2 linked regions of the Daphnia pulex genome follow. The protein of the gene in region 1 interacts with the protein of each later gene in a pairwise test. Links are inferred from orthologs where the notes say so. Each region holds a gene or a part of one and is shown on either strand. Other genes may lie near its edges.

Region 1 (11,521 bases):
ATGATGGGGGGCTACTAAAAAGATGTCACGGGCTGGAGTCGATCCTGTCACGAGTCGGTTGATATTCCTGATTTGTATTTTCCCAGGAATTATTTTTATTTTTATTATTTTCCATCCATCGATCTTCTTTTTTTTCTTCATTGAGGAACTGCTTTCCAGCTCTGCGTGTATCCCCCCATCCGCCGGGCCGGCTTCCGTGCGCCAAGACAATGACGGATGGAATCGGGTGATAAAGACTCGGTGGACGGACGGAGTAGAGCGAATGTCGAAGACGGTCCAGTCGGGCCGCCGCCCGCACACGTAATCTCATCAGACGGTGCTGCCACCACCGCCGCCCAGCTATCCAGCCGACAGTTTCTCTTGCCATCGGCTCACGCTTCGTTAAGTTGGCAGACCCCCGTGACGACCGTCATCTTCATCTTCTTTTTTCCTGCGGGAGCGGCTCAAGTTGATTGCCATGAGTTTTTTCCCTCCATATCACTCGACTCGAATGAGTTAACTTCATTTGCGTCAGAATGGGCGACCTGGTTGTTGCCCGTCTACGGTAGATTGCGGATGATATAAGAATGGAAAACCATAGCAGCGGCCGGAGGCTTGAGGAGAGCGATATATAAAAAGGAGCTGAACTCCCGAGCCAGCGCCGATTCGCTGCGTGAAGCAACAGCCCACACACACTTGATTGGACGGCTGATGGTCCGTCTCTGCCGACCACTTTGAGCGTTGCCCGGCCAGGAACCCATCACGATAGAGAAGGAAATGCTCCCAACTGTTTTTGAATGCCCCCCGTCCATTTAGCCATTTTCATCGCCATCAAAGAAAAGAAAAAGTTCTAAAGAAATGGGATGGTCTTTTATATGTACACACAGTCTTGGTCGTATGTGGCATCCATTAGGAGGACGGGAAAAAAAGTCTCTTTTGAATAGAGTCAATAGACTATAGGGCCGGCTCCTGCCCACTTTGTTCCTGACTTCCTTCCGGTTCCCCCTTTAACTTTTTTCGAGTTCCGTTGGAAGTTTTGACCGTTGGAAGATTCGCAAGGACTTGCGCAGTGTCGACTTTGAATTGGCCCGCGTCTTTTTTCTTTGATTCGCGGCCTTATATTATGCCAACGAACCGTTTGTACCGTACGTCTTTTCTCCCTCTTGGCGGATGAAAAGTTGCAATGGCAAATCGTTATCCATCATCCAATCAAGCGGAGGGTCTAATGGACGCCAGATAGGCAGCGAACGTGCCTTGGTTGCGGTACGCATTTTGTCGGCTGGGAGGTTAGAACGTTCAAATAATGTTATGACTCACATCAAAAGAAGAAGACGGGCGGGTCTTTTGAGATTCGAAAGAATTTCAATTTTCAAATAGCTTGGCACAGTTCTAATTGAATGGCTGAGCGCAGCTTCCAGCTTCCTCGCCGTCGACTCCAACTTAAACGATCCTCTTTTTTTTTATTATTAAGGAGTCACGTCAACTCCCGCGTCTATAAGGTCGACGAAACATTGGACACCTCATTATCGTAAACAAAATTCGATTCCCGACTCCCAGTGCCCCCGAGGGCGAGCGGAGCGAAATGATATAAAACCGGATGAACTGAATTCACGGAATTCTGGAAAGATAAAAAAAAGAACCTGAAAGAAATTTGTTCACTTACTGGGAAATGTCGTTTTGATATTGACTGATTATGTAATGCGACTAAAAAACAAGTTTTTCAACTTGTAGGAGCACTTTTGATTAAGGAGATGAAATAAAATCAGGAGAAAATGTCCAGGGATAGAAACTGGACTTTCCAATATCCCGTCACCTGAGAGGAAAGCCACGATTTCTCTTGATTTTTACCAATGGTCCAATGACTAGGTTGTGTTCCCCTCCCAAAAGGCTAAATGTGGGTTGAATTGTTTCTGGGGAACCGTCTGATGTGTACACAAGGCATTTTCCAATCAACAGCTGATATATATTGGAACAGATTCCTCGAGTGGAATGCGTCCTTTGGACCTCTCTCGTAGAGTTGAAGGAATTCCACAGATTGTGGCCGACGAGAGCCTGTCTTTCTCTCTCTGTGCGTGCTGGAAAACAGTCCGGTTTTCCATCTAAAAAAAGTGAAGAGATAGACATTTTCGTGTGTCCATGCGCATTGATGCCGTCTCTACCGGCTGTGCGACGTCATCGTTTTCAAATGTGTAGCGAATTAATGAAGCGGATAAGAGTGAGAGCTGGAAAAAAAAAAGTTTCCTTTGTCTATTTTCTTCCGTCGGATTTTCCCCCCTTAATAACCTATACATGGCCGGAGAATAAAAGGAGAGAGAGAGAGAGCAAACCAAGTTGATGAATCATCACATCGAATCCGATCTGATTTATTTCTTTCTTTTTTGAGCTCCTTATCTGTTTTGACCCGTTTTTCTTCTTCTATGAAAGCTGCTTTCTATTTCAATCTGTTTGTCTTCATCTTTTCATCTGCTGCTGCTGCCTTCTCCTCATCAGGCGAATCGATCCTGGCGGAACAGGATCAATTCAACACTCTCGCTCGGGCAAAAAAGGTCGGATCTGCTATAGGCACCTGGAGAATCCCGTAATGTTTTTTTCCCTCCTTTTTATTTGATCTCGAAAAAAGGAAAAAAGTGAAAAGCTTTTTTTATTTTATTTCACGTGTACTACACACATTGTAAAAAAAATAAGGATCAAAACGTCAGGGGGGGAATCGATCGACCCGCGCCGTGTGTGTCTATAGGTATGTTTCGGGACGGGCAACGGGGGATAGAAACGTACGTGCTCGCTTGGCCGTGAATCAATCAACTTCATCTCTCAAGGCTTAGAGAAATCGATCACGGGTTGGGCCCAGCTGCTACTTCCTCTCTCTCCTACTACTCCCCCCACCCTTTTGTGACCTCTCGTCCACTCCTGGATGGGTAATGGAACCGTGCTTTCCGGGAGAGAGTTGAACTGCGAGTGTCTTTCCAGCCCGAGCATCTCTCTCAACCGTTTCGTCACGCACTTGGCAATTGATCCGCTAATGACTGCTTGCACAGTTGCCGTGTTCCTCCGTGATTCCCAGTCCAGTCCGTCTCTTGTTGTTCTGTGTAGTTGCTGTTACGACTAAACTCCCAACTGGGCAAAGGTCATGCTCATCGTGTGGATTAATGTCACTTGATTTACATCCATTCCGCCCATTTTCTTTTAATTTTGTTTCACGTTTGTGTAGGTAAGAACAGCACGGGAGCCTCGGAGACCAAACATTGGCAGGACATGATCACCAAGCCACGTCAGGCTGTCGTCCAATGGCATCGCTTGAAACCCGAGTGATGCGACGGAGCGGAAGAACTAAGGAGCTAGGACATCCACAGAGCCAAATGACGGAAGACGGAGAATCTGCTATATACAAGCTAGGAGAGAAAAAAGGATCGAAGAAGAAGAGAAAGAGAGAAGGAAACACACACAAAATCCATGACCCCTGTACACTCTTTACTTCCCCTCCTCCTTTTTTTGGTATTATTTTTTTTACTTCAACGACCTCATCAAAAGAGTCTTACGATCTATTTTGTTGATCGAAATGGCTTCGTTCACGATCCGCAAGACTGAAAAGACCCAAGGAAACAAAAAAAAACAAACAAAAAACGAATATTTGAAAAAAAAGAAGAGATTGCGCATTTTGTTCTGATGTGGTCGCACGGTTTTGTTAACTTGGACTTGAGCTTTTTTGATTGAAGCAAGTTTCATTCACGGAACTTACGACATAAAAGGGCGGGGGGAGGGGAATTGACATCATTTGCAATGTTTTGTATGGTCGTCTTTTTTTTTAAATCCGGAAGTAGAGCTGAAGAGATCCCTTCACTAATACCCATAAACACAAAAAAGGAAAAAAGAAAAAGAAACGATGATGATCTGATTTGACAAAAAAGGGGAAGAAAGAGAATTTGTGTTTTGCTGATATGACAAAAACATTTTAAAAAATGTGTCGACAAAAGAAGACATAATAATGACAAAGTATATTTATCAAATCATCTCATACATGCACTATGACAAAAAATTTATTTAGTGTGTGTGTGTGTGACTCGTTGCCAACGCGGTACTGTAGATTTGATTTTCGTCTTTTATCCTAATTGATTGTGGAGAAATTTTTTCCTTTTTTTTTTTAAATAAGAAAAGAAAAATTAAACATCAAATTATTTAAAGAAAATGCTACCCAGTCCCTGTTCCTCGTCTCTTTAGACCCCCCTTGAGAGTTGAGCCTCTCTCTCTCTTTTTGTTTTGGTTCCCCTTTGGTTTCACTTGGATTGTTGAATTTTTCTGATTTTTACGTGAAATATTATTATTGCTCGTTGGAAAGTTCTGTCGTGAAGTAGATTCTACCACGCGAAAATCCCCTCCGCGCCCTTGTTGCCCTTAGTCCATGATCTTATCTTACGCTTTCCTGTGTCTGTCGTGTCTGAACTATCCCAGGGTGTCCAAAACCATCCTCCGTGTTTGTATACCTTGTTCAATGTATAGAGAAACCCAACCATAACCTTTCATACCCGAAACCTCCCCCTAAAAAGAAAAAAAAAGAGATGAAGAGCTAACTACACACAAATTATACCATGTAAATCGATGAGACTGAGAAAGGCGAAATAAAATTCAACATCAATCGTCCATGGTTTATTTGACCTAACGAATGGTATGTTCCAAATCTATTTAGTTTCTTTAGTTTTCACTTCTAAGGGCTTTTTCCCAGCATCGGCTTCTTTCACCTCTTCTTCCTCCTCTTCACCAGAGTCGTCGCTATCCTCTTCATCTGACGAGTCGTCATCGTCGTCGTCGTCGTCGTCATCATCATCGTCATCGTAAGTGTAGGAATAAGATCCACCACCGGTAGCGCCACCAGAATAATCTAAAAAAAAAAAAAAATTTTTTGTGAATGTGGTGATATTTTTAATTGAAGCCCAGAGTGGGATTGATTACCTGCATCTCCGTAATCATCTCCTTCTTCATCGTCGTCGCCGTAGTCTCCAGCAGGTTTCTGCCTGCCATATTTGTGGGTCCGAGCTGCGAGAAAAATGTGAAATGTATCGGCCAAATGACTCGCGAAATTTTGAGAATCGATAGAAAGATGATATTACTTGACATGCTCATATCTTTGGTCTCGTTCGTCTCGAAGCCGCATTTCGGACAGGGCACCGGCTGGCCACGTTCGTACTTGAAACCTTTACGTCTGACGTGATCCTCGCAGTAGCAGATCTTACATTTGAGGCAAGAGTACTGGCCGTGTCGATTACACGACTGACACTTGTACGTTTCGGCTTCCAGAATTTGGCAAGAAGCTTGATGCTCAAACTGATCATCTTCACAGAGGTGATTGGAGCAGAACGAGCACTGAAAGATCCTTCCACCGTGACCCCACACATTTCGGTCGCATTCAGCACAAACAGCATCTTGTAGGGGGCACAAACATCCATGTACGCTCAGGCATTTCTTACCATGGCAGATCCAAGCCTCACAGTGATCACAAATGGCCCCCTTTGTAAATGTGGAGAAAAAACTCGTGTTGATTGTTGGAAATAAAACATCAGCTTTAAACGAACTTACCACCATTGCCAATCCAGTCGTAAAAACACTTCCGTGCTTGATAACACAGTCCCCAGTTTTCAACATGCATTTCACTTTGGCGCAGTGACCACACATTGGAAGTCGTTGAAGTGACTGGCAAAAGTAACAGAAAGCGCGAAGTTTCTGCTTTCGTTGACATCTATCGCATTCCTACTCTCAACATAAAAAGATATTAAGAAACCGTGTTCAATTGAAAAATGAATCGCACCATATTCGAGTTGCATGCCCAGTCAGCTAACGGTTTCATTTCTTTGCCAGAACGGATCTCTTTCTGGCGTAATTTCTGCTTTTCAGCCTTCTTTCTTTGACCCGTCTTTTTCTTTGGCATTTTGTTCAAAAGTAGGAGCTAATACAATTCACAAAAAATGGAATTTGTTTGAAAATGTCTAGTGGAAGGGATCTCGCCAAATAAGTAAACTCCACTTGCCAGTATATTGTTGACTTGGAAGCAGACGAAAAATGACAGGTGTGTTTAGGGATCCTGCAAAACTAGTCGAGTTGGTGGCGGTCAGAGAGAGAGGGAAAAGAGGTTGGGATCGCGCCGCGTAGCCCCACCCGACAGACAGTCGTGTTTTCATCTGCCAAACACATCTTTCGCCCCTCCAACAGTCAGTGATGTGCATTTCATTTTGCTCACAAAGCTTAGCATTCAAGTAATTCGTTTTTTCGAGATCAACAACTTTGGCAAATTCTCTTTTGGAGGTGATTTAGTGGAAACGACTATTATTAACGCCGAGTTCCTGACGATGTTTAGAGAGATCCGTTGCTAACTGGGGCAACAGGTGTCCCTTCAAATTTTTTTGTTATTGTCATCAACTTGGTCAGTGCTTATTATTTTTGTGGCTTTCAATCTTTGAAATCCAACTAGCCTCATAATGGGGCTTCTTCCTTTGGAGTTCACTGAGTGCCTAACAGACAGCCCATACTTCAGAGAAAATCTCCAAGGCCACGAAAAAGAGTTGGAGAAAACCAGTCTTGCTATTAAAGTGCTAATTAAGGAAGTTAAAGACCTCGTCAATGCTGCCAGAGGTAAGACCAACCCTCTCTTTCCTGTATTATCAATTCTCAGATCTTTTGTTCAACTCAACTCTACCGTTTTATCAATTTCAACCCCCTTGCAGCTGGCTGTATAGATTAGTCATGGATAAGTTATCAGTCCCATTCATTTTTCGTGTAGATCCAGGCACATCTGTGGTATTGGAAGACATTGACCAGAGATTGGGTTCTTGTGAAACGTGTACTGAAACTCGATATGCAACTTTCTCCTTTTTGTTTTGTGAAAGCTTCTGTAAATATGGCTAATAATGTACCTACATGAGACAGGGTAGGGTTTTTCAAGAATTGGGCTGATATGAGACAACACCACAGGTTGTTTGATTCCTTGGGGCTATTTCCGAAATTTCCTGTCGTTATTCTCGTTACCGTCTGTCCGTTCGGGACCCGTAACGGTGAGTCCTGACCACAAAACGCCTTAGTCGGGGGTATTTCTAACGCAACTGATGCGGTCAGCCACGCACGGCCGGACGTGAAGCTATTGCAGGTGTAGATTTTTCGGGAAAAAAATAAAATGTGGCGATCCAAATATTGGTTTTAACAGTAGAGTTATAAATGATCTGGCTTTTAACTCCATTTTTCCTTTCTTAATCGCACGATAACAGCCTTGTCTCGGGCGCAGCGCAGTCTCGCCACAAGTCTGATGAGCTTCCAGTTCGAGTGTATTGGCAACAGCCAAACGGATGATGAGATCGTCATTGCCGGGTCGCTCAAAGAATTCGGTCGACTCATCAACGCCATTGAAGATGAACGGGATCGGATGGTAATGCCTCATCGCCTTTCTTCCGGCATTCTGCTTACGTTTTCGAATAAAAACTACTTATTTTCCTCATCGTTAGTTGGAGCGAGCTAAGGATCAATTTATCGGACCACTGGAGAACTTTCGGAAAGAACACATCGGCGGTGCCAAGGTGGTGCAAGAGAAAATGAAGTGTGCTGTACGTGACGATTAATTGAATTTCATTTTTTTCTTTCTTTTCCCGTTCAATTCGGCAGGAGGAAAAGAAGAAATTTGAGAAGCAGACGGCCAAGTTCGTTCAGAGTCAAGAGCGCCACTTGAATCTATCGACTAAGAAACAGGATTCCGTCTTACAGGAGGTCTCTTATTTGTTCTCCCTTCTTTGCATCTATTATTACGTGTTCCTGGCGAGAGTTTAAGAGGTGTTGATATCTGATCTGGTTAGGCGGATGCGATTTTGGAGATGGAGCAGCGCCACTTTTGCCAGGCCAGCCTCGAGTACGTCTACCGTCTGCAAGAAGTTCACGAACGAAAAAAGTTTGAGTTCGTCGAAACGGTAAACCTTTTCTTGTTTTTAAAATTTTTTTAATTCATCTACAAAGCTTTCTTATAAAAATAAGACTATTAATAATTTGTCGAAAATCTTGTTTCGTTTTTATTTAAAACAGTTGCTAGGCTTCATGTATGGCTGGCTAACTTTCTATCATCAGGGATACGAAGTGTCGAAGGAATTCCGACCTTATATGACTGACTTGCAAGTGCGCCTTCAAAAGGTAAGAGTACGATTCAAGTGGAGCAAAACAAGAAACAGCAAACAGGTTTAACGTGTAAACGACTCTTTATTCTTTTTGGGTGATTTTAGACCCGGGAGAACTTCAACACAACACGAGAGGAGGCAGAATCGTTGATGCGCAAGATGCTGGAGGTGCGTAAGACGGTAATAGCTTCTTGCTCAGCTTTTGTGTGTATTGTGTGCATGCTCTGGCGTTATGAAATTTAATTTTAGCTCCAACGCTTCACTACAAGGATGTCGGCAGACAGTTGGCAACTCAGATTGAGACGAATGGTCAGGAAAATGCGTAATAACCCTTTGATGATGATGATGGAGCACTGCCATCTAGAACTTAATAATCCTATCCTATGACAAAGTGATCAACCAACTGTCGGAGATGGGTGTTTTTTACATTTCCTTTCCTCCCCCTCCTGACCACAGCTACGCATATGATTAAAATTGCTATGTGCACTCAGTCCCAGAATTTTACCATTGGATTTTTCGTGCGCGTGGCGTTATTCGAATTGTTCTAGGGATTTGTTTCTTGTTGAATATTCGTTGAACACTGTAAACAATGTCCGTTTTGAAACTTCGAATGGTATCTTCAAGAAGTAGCTTGTTCGTCGTTATTTCTAAAACTGCTTCTTTTATTTATTCTTTTCAGAAAAGCAAACAGGATATTAAATTGGTCACGTCATGAGACGTGTAAAAAAGATTAATGGCTATTCAGTATTCACATTACGTTCTCCCATTATTTACGTAAAGTAGACTCGTAGTCTAGGCCAGTTCTGAATCATGATTGATTAAGCGATAGAAGCCTCTTTGCAGTTGCCTGGTTTTCTCATCGATATGTGCAAGGCGTATTTTGTTGCTTTTGTCGCAGTTTCTTGACCTTTTTCGTTGCGATGTGAACTAGAAGATTAATTTGTTTTGGAGGGCTTTCGTCATTTGCCAGCTTCGGTTGTTTGGTAAAGAATTTCTCGGTGTAAAGTGGGCGGCTTTTGTTACTGCTCTAGAGATGGTGGTGGGTTTTTGTGAGTGCCTATATGTTTGAACTGGTGTGGACGTTCTTTCTATTTGCTGAGACGCGACTGACTTTCTAATTTTTGACACCCGCATCTGTAGAAGCCGTGCGACCCAGGCAGTTTGAACAAAATGTACACACGACAAGGCTATCTCTACGTCATGGAGAAAAGTAAGTGGGTCACCGAGCCAAGTTCCTTATTTTAATGTACTTTTCTTCAAGCATTTTTGACGGGCTAGTTAGTTAAATAATGCGGACATGAAATAATAGATTTTATCGAAAAACATAATTTTGTGTGACTGTTTTTAATCGTGGGTTTTTTTTTTCTTCTCTGCAGAGGCATTTGGGACCACTTGGTCGAAACATTATTGCCAGTACACTAAGGAAAACCGCATTTTCACCATGATACCGTACACACAAACGATTGGAAAGATTGTAGGTTTTTGTTTTCTATCCTTCACGGTCATTGGCCATGTAATAATTCCGTTTTGGATTTTTCTCATTTCAACAAGACCACAACGGATACGATGGAGATTAAGTCTTGCACACGCCGCATGTCAGAATCCATTGAAAAGAGATTCTGCTTCGACATTACTCCAAAAGATCGTCTAGTGATGGTGATTACACTGCAGGCGCTATCAGAGGATGATCGTCGGTTGTGGCTTGATGCAATGGATGGAAAAGAGCCGGTAACACACCAACCCACAGCCAGAAACCCGTTTCCTACCGTAAATAACAATTCCTTCTATTAACAACTACCATAATGTTTTATGCTGTTGCATTCGCTATAATCATTTAATGGCGATTTAATTTTTTCAGACTTATGCTCAACCTGGGAAATCGTCCAAACACGAAGAAACCACACTGGATGAAGTTGGTTTCCTATTCATTCGCACTTGCATCAAAGAAATTGAAAATCGAGGTAAGCGTTCACTAACCTCATTTTCCTATCCTTACAGAAATGCTAAAAATGACTGTTATTATATCGTAGGTTTGGAAGATCAAGGGCTGTATCGACTGGTCGGCGTTTCGTCCAAAGTCAGCAAGTTACTATCGATGGGGCTTGATCGACGAAAAGTAGAAAAACTCAATTTGGAAGATCGATTAGAATGGGAAAACAAGACTATCACTAGCGCCATTAAAACTTACTTGCGTCAGTTACCCGAGCCGCTCATGTCATTCCGTTATCATACTGCCTTTATTGCGGCTGCAAGTAAGAGACTGATATCTTAACATTTGACTTGACCGGGGACTTATTCCCACGTTTCCGTTTTCCCGTTTTATAGAACAGGAATCACGTCTTCATCGAACAGCAGATGTGCATGCCTTAGTTCATCGACTGCCTGAAAATCACTTTAAGATGCTGGACATCATGATTACTCATCTCAAAAAGTGTGTGAATTTCATATTTAAGTGTACTAATATTGAGTTAACATTGGTTTGCATTCCTTTACTCGTATAATAGTGTCGCTGCAAAATCAGACAAGAATTTGATGACCGTTTCCAATCTTGGCGTGTGTTTTGGACCAACACTGCTCCGTCCGGAAGAAGAGACTATGGCAGCAATTATGGATATAAAGTTTTGCAACGTCGTGGTTGAGATTATGATCGAAAATTCTGAAAAGGTATGAACCCTATCGAATCATATTAATCTTGCATGGACCTCAAACCAATATTATTTTTTAAAATGTAGATTTTCAAGACGAAACCGGATCCGTCAGAATTACCAATAAAAAATCCAGCAACTGTCAATATGCGTCCACCGTCACCACCGGCGTATCAGCCTCCACCCCAGGTTTACACTGGTGGTGGAGGTGGAGGGCCAACTCCCCCGTCCTTGATTCATCGTCAACCTGTTGCCAGCTACAGTCTAATTCCCCCTATTGCTCAAGCTCATCTCAGTCCACCGCCTTCATCTCCTTATGTTGACGGTCCTTCTCGTCAAATGGCCTCAGTAGGTAACACAGGAGTTCGCAATCCGTCACAACCTCAGCAACGTGTAGCGTATCCATCAAGTCCCACCACGGCTGAATTATGGTCTGGTAACAAATTGCCGCTTTCGGTTCAAGCGCAATCGCATGGAGCTGCAACATCATCAAGGTAAATTTTGATTTCCTTTGTCTTTTTAGGCAAGTGTGACTAAACAATTATAAATCGTGTGTTTATCAGGTCAAATTTACGGCCGGGATCGGCTGGAGCATTATCTAGTGGGCCTACTGGTCGTCCATTAGGAGTCATTCCTCCTTTGAGTTCCGCCACTTCAGCCCCAGAGCGACCTCACAGCAACACCAGTCTTAGTTCAAGTGACTCGGCGCCTGGTTCAACCGTATCTTCGTCCCGCTCCTCATCTAGAGATCCATTGCCT
Region 2 (11,539 bases), on another chromosome or scaffold:
AGAAAAATGGAACCAGTGGAACAATGGCGAATTATTTCAAGCAAGAGTGGTTTCCTCATATTACGTCAAGTCGGCGTCAAGAACTAGCTAGAATTGATCCCTTAACTTCGCCAAAAACTGCATACAACTTAATAATTCAGTTTTGTCAGCCATGTACGTAGAAGCGATCTTCTCATTATTTGTAGAACTTTTATACGATAAACAGGTAGAACCCAGCAACCCGAATTGATCCATCAACCTTTGGGGAATAAAAATACTCGTATTAATAACGTATTTTTCAACTTGAGACTTCAAAACTGCGACATGAAATTTTAAGATCGACACTGTCGTTCAATTGTGGATCCCAAATCGCCTTTAAATTTAAATATTTAAGAATAAGGTAAATAACTTTTGATTCTTGAAACCTTCTCGCCCGACCCGGGTTTCCGTTACGCGTGCATCTCTTCCCTGACTGACGTCAATGTGCTTAAATAACTTGATTTTTTTTTTTTTAAATTCGGAATACGTAAATCCCAATGATGTGATAGGATATTGACCGGTTGACATGTACCAAAGTGACGTGTACTGTTCTACACATTGAGAGGATAGACAGAACCAATCTTTATCAGTCTAGCACACGAGTTATACACACGACAGGGTGAGACCATGATCTTTGCGTAACGACACGACTGGCCTACCCCGACGATAACGAAACGAAAAAAAAAAAGAGGAACAAAAATTTGATACAGAAAAATGATAAACGAACACAAGGAGAGAAAAAAAAACTAGGTGGCGTATTACTGAGCAGCATAACACGAAATAGGAAAAAAGAAGGGCAGAATAATAAGGATGGCGTGTTCAAAGCTAAGAAATTGGAATGTACACATCGTGTCGGTTTTGCTCTTATACAACTCGTTGATACCCGCCGAATGATACTGGATGCGGCCAAGACTGTATTCATCTAAATGTTTTTTTCTGTTGTTCTTTTTGCCCTTCGTCGCTATGGGAGACGTCCGTGTTGAGTAACCATCTTCAGGTAGGTGAGAGAAACGGTCGAAGAAGGAGGTACACAAGTACATGATGAAAGTTGATAATGTTACTACATCGAGGAGAGAAAAGAGACAGATAGAGAGACATTTTGGTTTTTTTGGATGGGGGGGGGGAGAGAGAGAAAACACGGACTCTTGAGGCAAATTAACAATCGTGTTCACGCAAGGACATTCACAAAAAAAAAAAGAAGAAAAAGAGATAACTAACAAACATACTGGTACATCTCTTAGAGCTACTTTCATTTTTAAAAAATTGACTTGTGGGAAAAAGTAACTCTCGTGTGGCCACTGGGCATCATACCGAAACAATCAAATTACAGAAAAGAAAAAAAAAAGAAAACGGGGAGAAATGGGTAGCAGTGGAGAGGTTGAAATAAAGAAAAAGATCAGGCTACGGCAAAAATAACGTTCCAAGAGCAAAACAACTACGGCATCGAAATAACACTTTTTTATTTCTTCATTCTTCAGACAGATCTGTTTGGTGATGGTGGATGGGACCATATTGTACTATTAAGAGATAAGATGTAAGAACAAAAGAAGAAAAATTTTTTTCCGAGGGACTGACGGGCGAACTATGGCACACTCCTGTTGTCACAACTACCAACACTTTGCACACCGACTACTACTTTCTCGCCTTTCTCCCATTCGTCAGCGATTGGAGCGACACTTTTTTTTTCCTTATTACTATTGTGGGAAGTAAGTCTAAGAAAGGCAACATGCAAGGATACAAAAGTGCGAGTAAAATGTACACAGCAGTCTTGCCCTCCAGTTGCCGTTATAAATAGTTTGGGGATATGACCAATAAGGGGGTGATGGAATAAAGGAGATTGAACACCAAAGGAAATAAATTTTTTCGGCTAACCATTCACTCTCGTACATAGGTCAATGCATTACCTTTTGCGGTCAAAGTATTGCTGGATTCTTTTGGTAATTTTTGAATTTTGTTACATCAGAGGCCAAAGGAAAGCTCATTTGAATATTTAGCCTTTGAAAACAAGGGAAGTACCGTAAACAGGAGCGTGAAAAAACTGTGAAGGTCACGTAGATTACATATAAAGAAGGAAAAACAGGGTGTGGTGGAATAGAAAGGAAGAAGAAAGAGATGTGGCCAGCTTTCAAACGGGTCAAATTAATCTGTCTGAAGACGGTGGTGACCGACTGTTCATTTCAGATTTGCTGAGAGCGATCGCCATTTCCAGATCGGCTATTTCCTGCATCTCCGCTTTCCTTCGCCTTTCCTGCTCCGATCGGACACTCTCAGCAGCCACCCAAGCGATTTGGGCGTCTTCGCTCAACTTGGGCAATGGTTCAGATGCAGACACTTTGCTACTTTTCATCGGTGACGATGAGGAAGACGATCGGCTCTTTAACGAGCTCGAGCCAATCGATGTTGGACTTTTAGTGGGACCACTAGAGGTGGGAGAGGAAAACTTGAAATCGTTGCCCCAACTAGAGGGAGACTTGTTATTGTTGTCAGCAGCTGTGGCAGCAGCGAACGGATCTGGCCGCCCGTTCCATGCCGAACTACCGAACGGACTGTCGAATTCTATCGTGGATTTAGAAGGAGATGTGGAAGAGGCAAACGGATCCTTGTCTGCGGAAAACGGATCAAAACTGTCCGGATCCTTCTTGATCTTTATTCCGTTATTGGTGATGGTGGGAACGGCGAAGGGATCGTCTGTGTTTGAGGCAAACGGATCGCCAAATCCGACATCTTTGAAGGGATCTTCAGTGAATTCTAGCTCGGCATACCGGTGCTGTTGTGACTCGCTGGTGGGTTTTGTGCTGCTAGTGCTGGTGCTTCCCCATGCATCAAAGCTCTCGCCAGTTGAAGAGCCAGAAAACTAAGGCAATTAAACACAAACCAAAGCAGGGAAGGGAAGCAGGGAAAACAGAAAAAAAAAACTTAAAATAAATTACAACAGAAAAATTTCGAAATACAAAACTAAACTAAAATAATATCAGGTAGATGTATAGAAGACAGTAAAAATATTAATTCTAAACGCTCGAAAGGTCAGATTTCAGACCAGTGGAAAATGCCTTAGAGTTGACTCATGGCTGCGTAAAAAAAACAGAAAAAGAAAGAAGAAGGCAAGAAAGTTTAGTTGACTTTACGGATCCGATGGACTGGAATCATTCTGAAATCAAATTCCAAATTGTGATTTTTTTTTACATGTTTATCGAACACGGGAAACGGAAACGAGAACCCAAATGAACCGAGTCAAATCTAAACGAAGACGAAATAAAATAAATCACGACCCAGCAGGCTGCCAATCGCCTAACTAAAAAAAGATTGTTCTAGAACAAGAGAAAACACGTACACATGTCACGTAAAATAAAAATAATGGAGTTTAGCTTTATATATAAAGAAGGAATGGTATAAATGAATCACAGTTGAAACGAAGAAAAATCAACCGTAGTACAAGTTAATCATGCTCTCTGGATTACCAATAAAATAAACTACACATAGAAAATTGCGAAACAAAAAAAAAAACATCAAATCAATCGGAGACGTACCTTAGATTCAAAACTTGCAAAATCAGCAAAACCCGATCCACCAAAAGGATCCTTAGACGCACCAGCCGAAGTAAACGGATCGCTCAATGGTGCAAAAGGATCAGGTGATTTTGTGGCGCCGATGGGAGGAGCCGGGCGCTGGGGACCTTTCACACCACTAGAAACAGCTTTCGGTGGAGCTGGACGTGGAGGTGGTTGTTTCGACTTCTTGGGAGGCAAGGCCGGAGTCGGGCTTTCCACTCGACCGGCAGGTAAGGGAGAATTAGGTGCGTTAAATGGGTCGCTACCGAACGGATCAGCACCCACGTTTGGCTGCAATGACCAAAAATTGATAATCAATTAGCGCTCGAGTTCCGCCGCAATTAGTCTGATTCTAATTACTCACCGATTTGCTACGACCGAAGGCGTCAAATGGTTCGCTTTTTGCTTGACCAAACGCGGAAGCGAATGGATCATTCTGAAAAATTCAAAATGCATTACGCGTTTTACAAACTAGTCAGGATTCAAATACTTTCTAACGATTCATAGAAACACGTACCGTTGGTTTTGCAGGAGCTCCAAAGGCTGAGGCGAATGGGTCTTTGGCGCCAAAAGGATCAACAGACGAAGTTGGCTGCGCCGCCTTTTTGAAAAAGTCCGATTCCTTGAAAGGGTCCCCATTAGATGAGTCAGAAAACCCACGATTCTGACCATTCAGACTAGAAAATGGATCACTACCGAACGCTCCATCCTATAAAAATTTCGAATAAAAAAAAAAAAGATATTATGATCTTTACTGGACAAAACTGAACCAAAGTTCAATTACGTTAAAATGCGACGTTCCCCCGTTCACTTTGTTGCGGTCAGAGTTTGGCGAGAGTAAGATATCGGAATCGGAAGCTACTGAGGCAATAGGGCGAAGAACGTTATCGCCCAATCGAGAGGGATCTCCCGTTTCTAAGGCTTCGTCATAGGCCACCAAGGCCTCGTCAATCTGATGTTGATGTTCCTGCAACACCGTCATGCGAGCTGAAAAACCAAAACCAAAAATTTTATACTTTACTGGACAAAGTATTAAAAGATTTCCGCCAAGTAAACCTTTAATTTGACTAATTTGCAAGTGAGTATCTTGCAGTGTATTCTGGAGCTTGTCGAGTTGGAGGCTGGCCGCTTGCATCTGTTGCTCCATGCGCAGTTCTTCACTGCGTAAATTATTAAGTTCCTGTTTCTTAGCCGCAACTTCTGCCTCCTGTGTTCGAAGCGTGTTCTCTTGCTCCTCTGCTTGGGTCCGGAATGTACGAACCTAAAAGGCAGGTCAATAGTTACTTAGTCATGAGTGAAATTCGATTAGGGAAATGTTTGAAAAATTAGATAATCGGGTACAAGCAGTAAGTGAACCAAGTAACAGAAGAAATTGCCTTGCAAAATCAAGTGTTCTAACCTGCTTTTCATGCTCTTCAATTTGTCGCTCTACTCCTTGTAAATCTTGCTCCAAAGCTGAGCGCTACCGATGACATGCCAAATTAAAAACATAAACCAAAAATAAAACGGAACGTAAACAACTAAGGAAAATTGTGAAAGCCAATGGAAATAATACGTTGGCACACTTCAAACAATCCCAAGTCAGCTATTATGTGAGCATACAAAAAAATAAAAGCAAAAACAAAGAAAGAGGGGTCAAACAAAAAGTGGAATAAGAATAAAACCTGTGCATCTAAGTCGTCCAGTCTTTTTTGTGCTTCCTTCTTTTGAACTTCCAACTGCTTCAAAGTAGCCGACAAAGTGTCGAGTTCGCTCTGGAGATTACGAACTTCACCATTCTTGATTCGGATGTCTGCCTCCTTTTGTGCCACATCTGTTTCCAGTTGACGCTTCTCCCGAATAAGACTCTCAATTTCTTTGGCGATTTGCTCAAGTTCGGCAGAATGAGTCAGCTCCTCAACATTGGTGTCTTTCGCACGGAGAGAAGGCGGCATCATTTCAGGAGTTAGCACAGTTGGTAATTCTCTTCCTTGAACCTTTTGCTGGATAAGCCACATTGAAAGGGCAAATTGCTCGCTATTCAATTTACCTGTCTGCCCAACATCACACAACCCCCTAGATCGTTTCAACAGCAACAATTAATGGGGTTCGTTGAGATTCAAAAGTAATGTGAAGTCTACCATATATGAGCTAAAATCGGTTGCGGTAGACGTGATTGCAAGAAAACGTCTTTGATTTCCAAGCCGGATACGTAACCGTCGCGATCCATATCTGCTTGCAGAAATAAAGCTCCATATTTGGTTTTTTCTGCTTCACTGACAACCCAGGTTACTGCATGGCCATTAGACGCAATATCCTGTATTTAAAAGAGAAAAAACCCTAACCATTAGAATCGATTAACAAGCTATTACAGTATTATTTTCAATACTTTAACGTTTTCCGGAGATGAAACTGCTGGAGGCAGGACGCTTACCGACCCCGCAAGAGACGACCCACGTCGAAGAGTAGACTCTTGCACGGTTGAGAGTAATTCAGATGGTAAACTTACCGGCAATGGGTAATTATCCAAGACTTTGTAAACCAAATGCATTGCCTAAAATAATTTAAACATTACAAAGTTTGAGGCGGAAAGATTAAAGATATGGGTAAAGTAATTCACAATAAATTTTTATCTTACCACAATGAACTCATTCCGGTCTAGCGCTCCGTCATGGTCCATGTCAGATAGGTCCCAAATTTTCCCTAGGCTTTCGAGTGGTAAGGTCGAGTTAACCAACACTTCTTTCACCTTTAAATCATAATATACCACAATTATACACTGAGTGCGGCACATTACCATCATAATAAACCTTGTTTCCAGGTAATTTGCCACCAACAGGACTTAAGGAATCAAAAAGTGCATCATATTTTGCTCTATCTGTGGCAGTGACAACCCAATTAAAAGTTTTGGGCTGATTTCCTGTTGGGGAAGTCAAAGATGAAAAGGATCCCTGTGAAGTAGTAGTCACTGCATTTTGTATAACAGCTGGTGGCTGTTCACCCTGAAAATTAAGTTTTACGTAAAATCACGAATGACACTAGTGTGGGATTGAAAGTAATCTTGCATAACACCCAGAAACCATTAATGAGCATTTACCATTTCTGGTGGCGTGGTTTCTCTTGATATGTTGCTCATACTAATTTCAATTCCATTCTGTGCCAGGGCTACTAGTTTCAATGCAGTAAAAAATCCACTTTGATCAAGATATCCTTTGCCTTGAGGATCAGACAGATCCCAAATCTAGAAGTTAATAATATAAACTTAAAAAAAAAAAAAAAAATCACTAATGTAAACATTTGAAAAAAAAATACCTTTCCTAGCACAGAAGTATGTAATCCAGATTTCTTTAGAAAATTAGCAGCATCAAGTGCACCAATACTTCCAAGGTTTTTGGGATCCACCTATAAACACCAAACCAGCAACGGGGATCAGATTAAAGTTTCTGTGGAGGTAACAAAATAAGTGTTACTTACATGCCGATACCAAGCCTCGAAGATTGCATAATTCTGTCCAGCGACCTGAAACATCAAAGAATATTTTCAAGTTGTTAGATTCTTTGAAAATATATCAATGTGTCAAAAAAGTTGAGCACTGTAAAGACGCATTATTTCACAAAAAAAAACATGGCGTGCGCCGGAAAAATTTTTATAATACGAAAATCTACACTATCTCACAGCTTTTTAAATACCACTTTCACGATTTTCTAAAATACTTAATGAAATAAATAATAATATTTCTTACTAAAGTCGGAGATGGCAATACCGCCATCTTGGTAGACTTTTCTTAGTTCGAAAAAAATCCGCTTGGGAACTGCACTGGCAATTCCTCCCCCCAACCGGCCTTTAGCTATCTGTAAATAAATGAAAAGAAAGAAAAAAAATAAACGTTGTAATTGTAATCATGAATGTAATGCAATACATAGCTACATAAGCGTAGCTTTTCCCTATCCAAAATTCCAAATACCCATAAAATGCTGAGAAACCAAAATAACTTCTAATTAATTAAAAATTGTTTGATTTTATTCTTGCTTGGAACGGGTTAAATTGGATCGCAAACATTTCGTGATCACTTTTTATGAATGGTCCTGTTTGAACCCTTTTACTGAATTCGTTGCTGATTGCGTGAATCGCCGTTCAAAAGATCACGAAGAAAATCGATTGGATTGTGATGTTCAAATACAACAATCGTCCATAGGTGGCTTCCTCCCTGATCAAGTCAAGTGAAAGTGAAAGGCGAAAACAACAAAATAGAATGACAAACCACTATGATTTGGTAGTAGGGCGTCGTTTGCCCGGATAGGAGAGATTGTAGCTCCAAGATTGTTTGTTTAAGACAGTGACAGTAAAAAATTTAAGCTACCTGTATTAGGCCAGTTGTTGTTCAAACTCCAAACACATTGACCCAAAGTATTGTGTACAAAAGTACACACCATTTCGAGATGAATTATTCATTGTTTTTGACCTTCGTTTTGGTAATTGGTCAAGTTAACTGTGTTATACCATCTGTTAAGGGTAAGTGTCAATATTCTTTTGCCTAAGAAACATGATGTAATTTTGTAAGCTTGCTCTTTAGCTCGATAAAATGTTGAGTGTGATTTGTGCACACAATTCTATTAATTACTACCACAACTGAGCATGACTTTGAATTTTTCATGAAATAATTGAATTAGGAGAAAGTTGATCAATGGCAGCCATTTGTGTATTTGAAATTTGGAATCCTGCAAACAAAGGCATGAGCTTCTCTGAATTGATGTTTTAAAAATCAGTCTGTAACTCTTTTGCACTTCTTTTTGTTTTATTACATTACAATGTCCGAAGAATTAATTAAAAAAAAAAGAAATGACAGTATTGCTGAGTACACTTTGTTTGTGTGCTTGTTCATACACAAACATATCCTGTTAGCATTTATAGTTCAAGCTTGTATAGTAGTTAACATTTTGGTTGACATTTAGCTCAAGGAGAGTATGAGTCAGGGAAAAATCCGGAATAGAAATAGATGCTTCCAAGGTTTGCGTGAGACTACCAGAGTGGACGGGTTTGATTTACAGCAGGTGTATAATTACTTAACCTAGTATTGCGTTTCCTTTTTTGGTTATAACGTATACAGGAATACTATTTCCATGCACGATACAAGTCGATGGAAGTATACATAAACTTCTGATTTCATCAACCAAATATTGATGTTGCTACGGAAATAAATCAAAAATCGTTGAACCCTTTTTATAGCTTTCATTTGGATGCACCTCTTTCCTTGAATAAATTTGAGCTCTATACATCATTTCCTAACACACCACATAGAACGACACTTGATAATAGCATAAAGCACTAATAAAACAATTAATTTGTTTTTTCGACCTTGTCGCTAAGACGTTTGCATCTCTTTGGAAATTTTTTAATAATTTGTTCCTTATGCAGATACCCATAACTGGGCTGGTGAATTAGAAAAAGCTCAGCATGATTTCAACCTGGACTCGTACTCAAAGCAGTGGATGGACGAGTGTGAAAGGGTTAATGGGAGCGAAGCCATCGAAGATATTCGTGTTAGTCTATCTCACTATTCTTGCATTCAGATAAATAACAAAATAATTGAATAATATTATATTTAACAACAGGAATCAGTGACGGTATTGACCGATTGTATATCTTCAAAAATCAATATTCACAACATAACTGAGGAGATTAAAGAGGCGTCTCCCAAGGGAATCCTTGATGAGGTTTTTGCAAAATATTGCGAGTGAGTTATAATTTTCTTTTTCTAAAAGAAAACTAACTGCCATGTGAAGTTCACGTGTGATAAAAATATTTTATTTTACAGTCAAATCTCAGCGATAAAAAAATGTAGAGAACCAGTTATATTGGCTATGCAAGTTTGTCTTTCAGATCAAGCCGATCGGGATCTTGAAATCTTCGATGAAGCCATTAGTGCAGCTGTAGATTTCATGTGCTATAAAGGAGGGGAGCGGATAGCAAGTATTGTTTTCCGGTGAAATTTAAAATATGGATAGAGTAATAACCGCATATTTTATTTACAGTTTTTATGTCTGAAAACGGAACTGACTGCTTTTTGTCAAATATTGACCACATCGCGACGTGTCTCAATGGAAGTCTTCCTGAATTAGAAAATGCAATAAAGAGTATACAAACAACCAACACCTCAATGTTTGACGACACTAACTGCGGGTAATTATAAAAAGAAAAGACAAAAAGAAAAGCTGTTTGGACTAATGTGCTATCGGTTTTCGTCTAGTAAGTTATCTTATCTAAATAGTCACTGATATCTATTTACTTAACGACTGACAGGTTGGAAACCAAAATGAAGGCATGTGTAATCAACGGTTTGAAAACGTGTTCCGACCCGACACCAGCCAACGTTGTTGAAGGCTTAATAGATTCAATGATCAAGAAAACTCCTTGTTACAAAAGCGAAGCAAATTATTTGAACACTTCGCATTCCTACCATTCTTCCGCATTGCTTTGGGCGTTGGCAACGCTGTCGATGGTTACTCGATTCATGTTCCACTCCTAAGTATTGTGTAATATAGAAATAGTCCCATTTTGAAAATAAACTTTGTGTACAATTAAAGCCCCACATCTCACGAAACCCTTTACCGCCCTTTACAAATAGAAAATGGAGTCGAATGTCCGTCCTCTCGTGACAGGTGTGCTAAACCTTCGTGATCGCTGTTGGGTCGTATATATGGGATATATCATGTTGTTTGGGCGTAACCCCATATGTAGTTTTTTTTTTTAAATTTACTTTCTTTTTGCATTATCTCGAGTAATACAATGCGTTACGTTTAATAGACACAAAAAGCGCACTTTTATTAGTAGCGTGTAAAAGGAAATGGAAAAAACGAACACTTTCGTGTAGTCAGATATCGCTAACATCGCATTATTTTCTAGTCACATGTCGAAAGTTCTTGTGATGCTGCTTTCTTTGTTTCTTCGTAATTTTATTGTGTTTTTCGAATAAATTCAACGACATTTTTAAAAATATAAGTTTCTTTAATGATTCTAGTGCCTGCATAGTTCATTTTTATTCTCATATTGAATCTACTGATATTCTTAATCTACTTTCGGTTTCTAAATTCCTTAATATTAATAAGTGTATAAATATTTGTGTGACGACGAAAAGAACCCAACATTATATTTTCCGTCCGACTCTAGGGCGTCTAGGCCTCCGTGGTGCGTGGATGCTAAGGGCTGTCACTAGGTGGCTAAATATTTCAGTGTGTTTAGGGATTGAATTATTCAGCCCTGTATTGGTAGGGAGGGGGGGGGGTCATCAAATTCTAGACGACATTGTCGACATTCCATTTCATATTTCTTTTTCTTCAAGACGCCGTCCGAGGAGGTTACCTTAGCCATTGGCTTATGGCGGGGCACTTTCTCTTTCTTTCCTCACATTTTTCAATGGTAATTCCTTTTTAATTTTCATTAAGGTTACTGAATTTAAATTGTGTGTGTTCCGTGTAATTAATTTACGGGTTACATGTTTAAAACTTTGTTTCTGATGGTAATTGAGTTTAAATTTTTCTATTTACAGTCTGGTGTCAGTGGTGTGAGCTTCTTCATTGCATTACGTGCACGTGGTCGCTGCCTCGTCATGAAGAGAGTCTACTATTTTGCAAGACAAATAAGATGAAAAGAGGAAATTTGAAAAGGTAATTAAGTATTTGTAAGCTAAATCGAGAAGGCAATCAAGTACCATTTTAGCATTTTGTTCTTGATGTCGGAAGACAAGTGACATCCTATTTCGGTTTTCCATGCAACAAAAAACTTAACAGAAGCGGTTTCTGTGAAAAGTTTTTTGTAAGTTAGTAATTAAACACAACTACAGGGTTAGAATTTTGCTTGAATTTAAGTCTACATAAGTGTGCTACATATGCTTGTTCTTTGATTAGAATTAACCTGGGTAGTACATAAAACTCTTGATTTATATTGTCGAGTACTTTATGCTTCTAAATGAGAGCTTTTTGTGAAAAAATCTTGAT

What was found.
Region 2: the proteins of rho GTPase-activating protein 26-like (region 1) and epidermal growth factor receptor substrate 15-like 1 interact in a two-hybrid assay, tested with the Caenorhabditis elegans proteins (2 studies listed by BioGRID). The link is inferred for Daphnia pulex from reciprocal best matches to the Caenorhabditis elegans genes T04C9.1 and ehs-1.

What each region holds. Positions count from the first base shown.
Region 1 is NC_060023.1:8,075,094-8,086,614, reverse strand, and holds the start of rho GTPase-activating protein 26-like, read left to right. Parts: upstream 1-6,099; 5' UTR 6,100-6,443; coding exon 6,444-6,597; intron 6,598-7,226; coding exon 7,227-7,384; intron 7,385-7,460; coding exon 7,461-7,532; intron 7,533-7,617; coding exon 7,618-7,719; intron 7,720-7,805; coding exon 7,806-7,916; intron 7,917-8,028; coding exon 8,029-8,133; intron 8,134-8,222; coding exon 8,223-8,297; intron 8,298-9,257; coding exon 9,258-9,327; intron 9,328-9,493; coding exon 9,494-9,591; intron 9,592-9,668; coding exon 9,669-9,884; intron 9,885-9,975; coding exon 9,976-10,078; intron 10,079-10,147; coding exon 10,148-10,369; intron 10,370-10,442; coding exon 10,443-10,548; intron 10,549-10,621; coding exon 10,622-10,781; intron 10,782-10,849; coding exon 10,850-11,256; intron 11,257-11,325; coding exon 11,326-11,521. Other genes in the region: synaptotagmin-7-like, read left to right, coding at 3,188-3,288; zinc finger protein 330 homolog, read right to left, coding at 4,653-4,852, 4,924-5,007, 5,082-5,478, 5,548-5,718, 5,777-5,896.
Region 2 is NC_060021.1:11,548,228-11,559,766, forward strand, and holds epidermal growth factor receptor substrate 15-like 1, read right to left. Parts: upstream 7,605-11,539; 5' UTR 7,510-7,604; intron 7,397-7,509; 5' UTR 7,315-7,396; coding exon 7,288-7,314; intron 7,065-7,287; coding exon 7,020-7,064; intron 6,948-7,019; coding exon 6,858-6,947; intron 6,787-6,857; coding exon 6,643-6,786; intron 6,548-6,642; coding exon 6,356-6,547; intron 6,295-6,355; coding exon 6,184-6,294; intron 6,100-6,183; coding exon 5,935-6,099; intron 5,863-5,934; coding exon 5,687-5,862; intron 5,622-5,686; coding exon 5,231-5,621; intron 5,029-5,230; coding exon 4,966-5,028; intron 4,828-4,965; coding exon 4,623-4,827; intron 4,554-4,622; coding exon 4,351-4,553; intron 4,276-4,350; coding exon 4,084-4,275; intron 4,003-4,083; coding exon 3,931-4,002; intron 3,858-3,930; coding exon 3,546-3,857; intron 3,167-3,545; coding exon of another isoform or gene 3,140-3,166; exon of another isoform or gene 3,087-3,139; coding exon of another isoform or gene 3,081-3,086; exon of another isoform or gene 2,873-3,080; coding exon 2,153-2,872; 3' UTR 540-2,152; and 1 more. Other genes in the region: 27 kDa glycoprotein-like, read left to right, coding at 7,985-8,057, 8,961-9,085, 9,158-9,279, 9,361-9,515, 9,578-9,725, 9,846-10,071.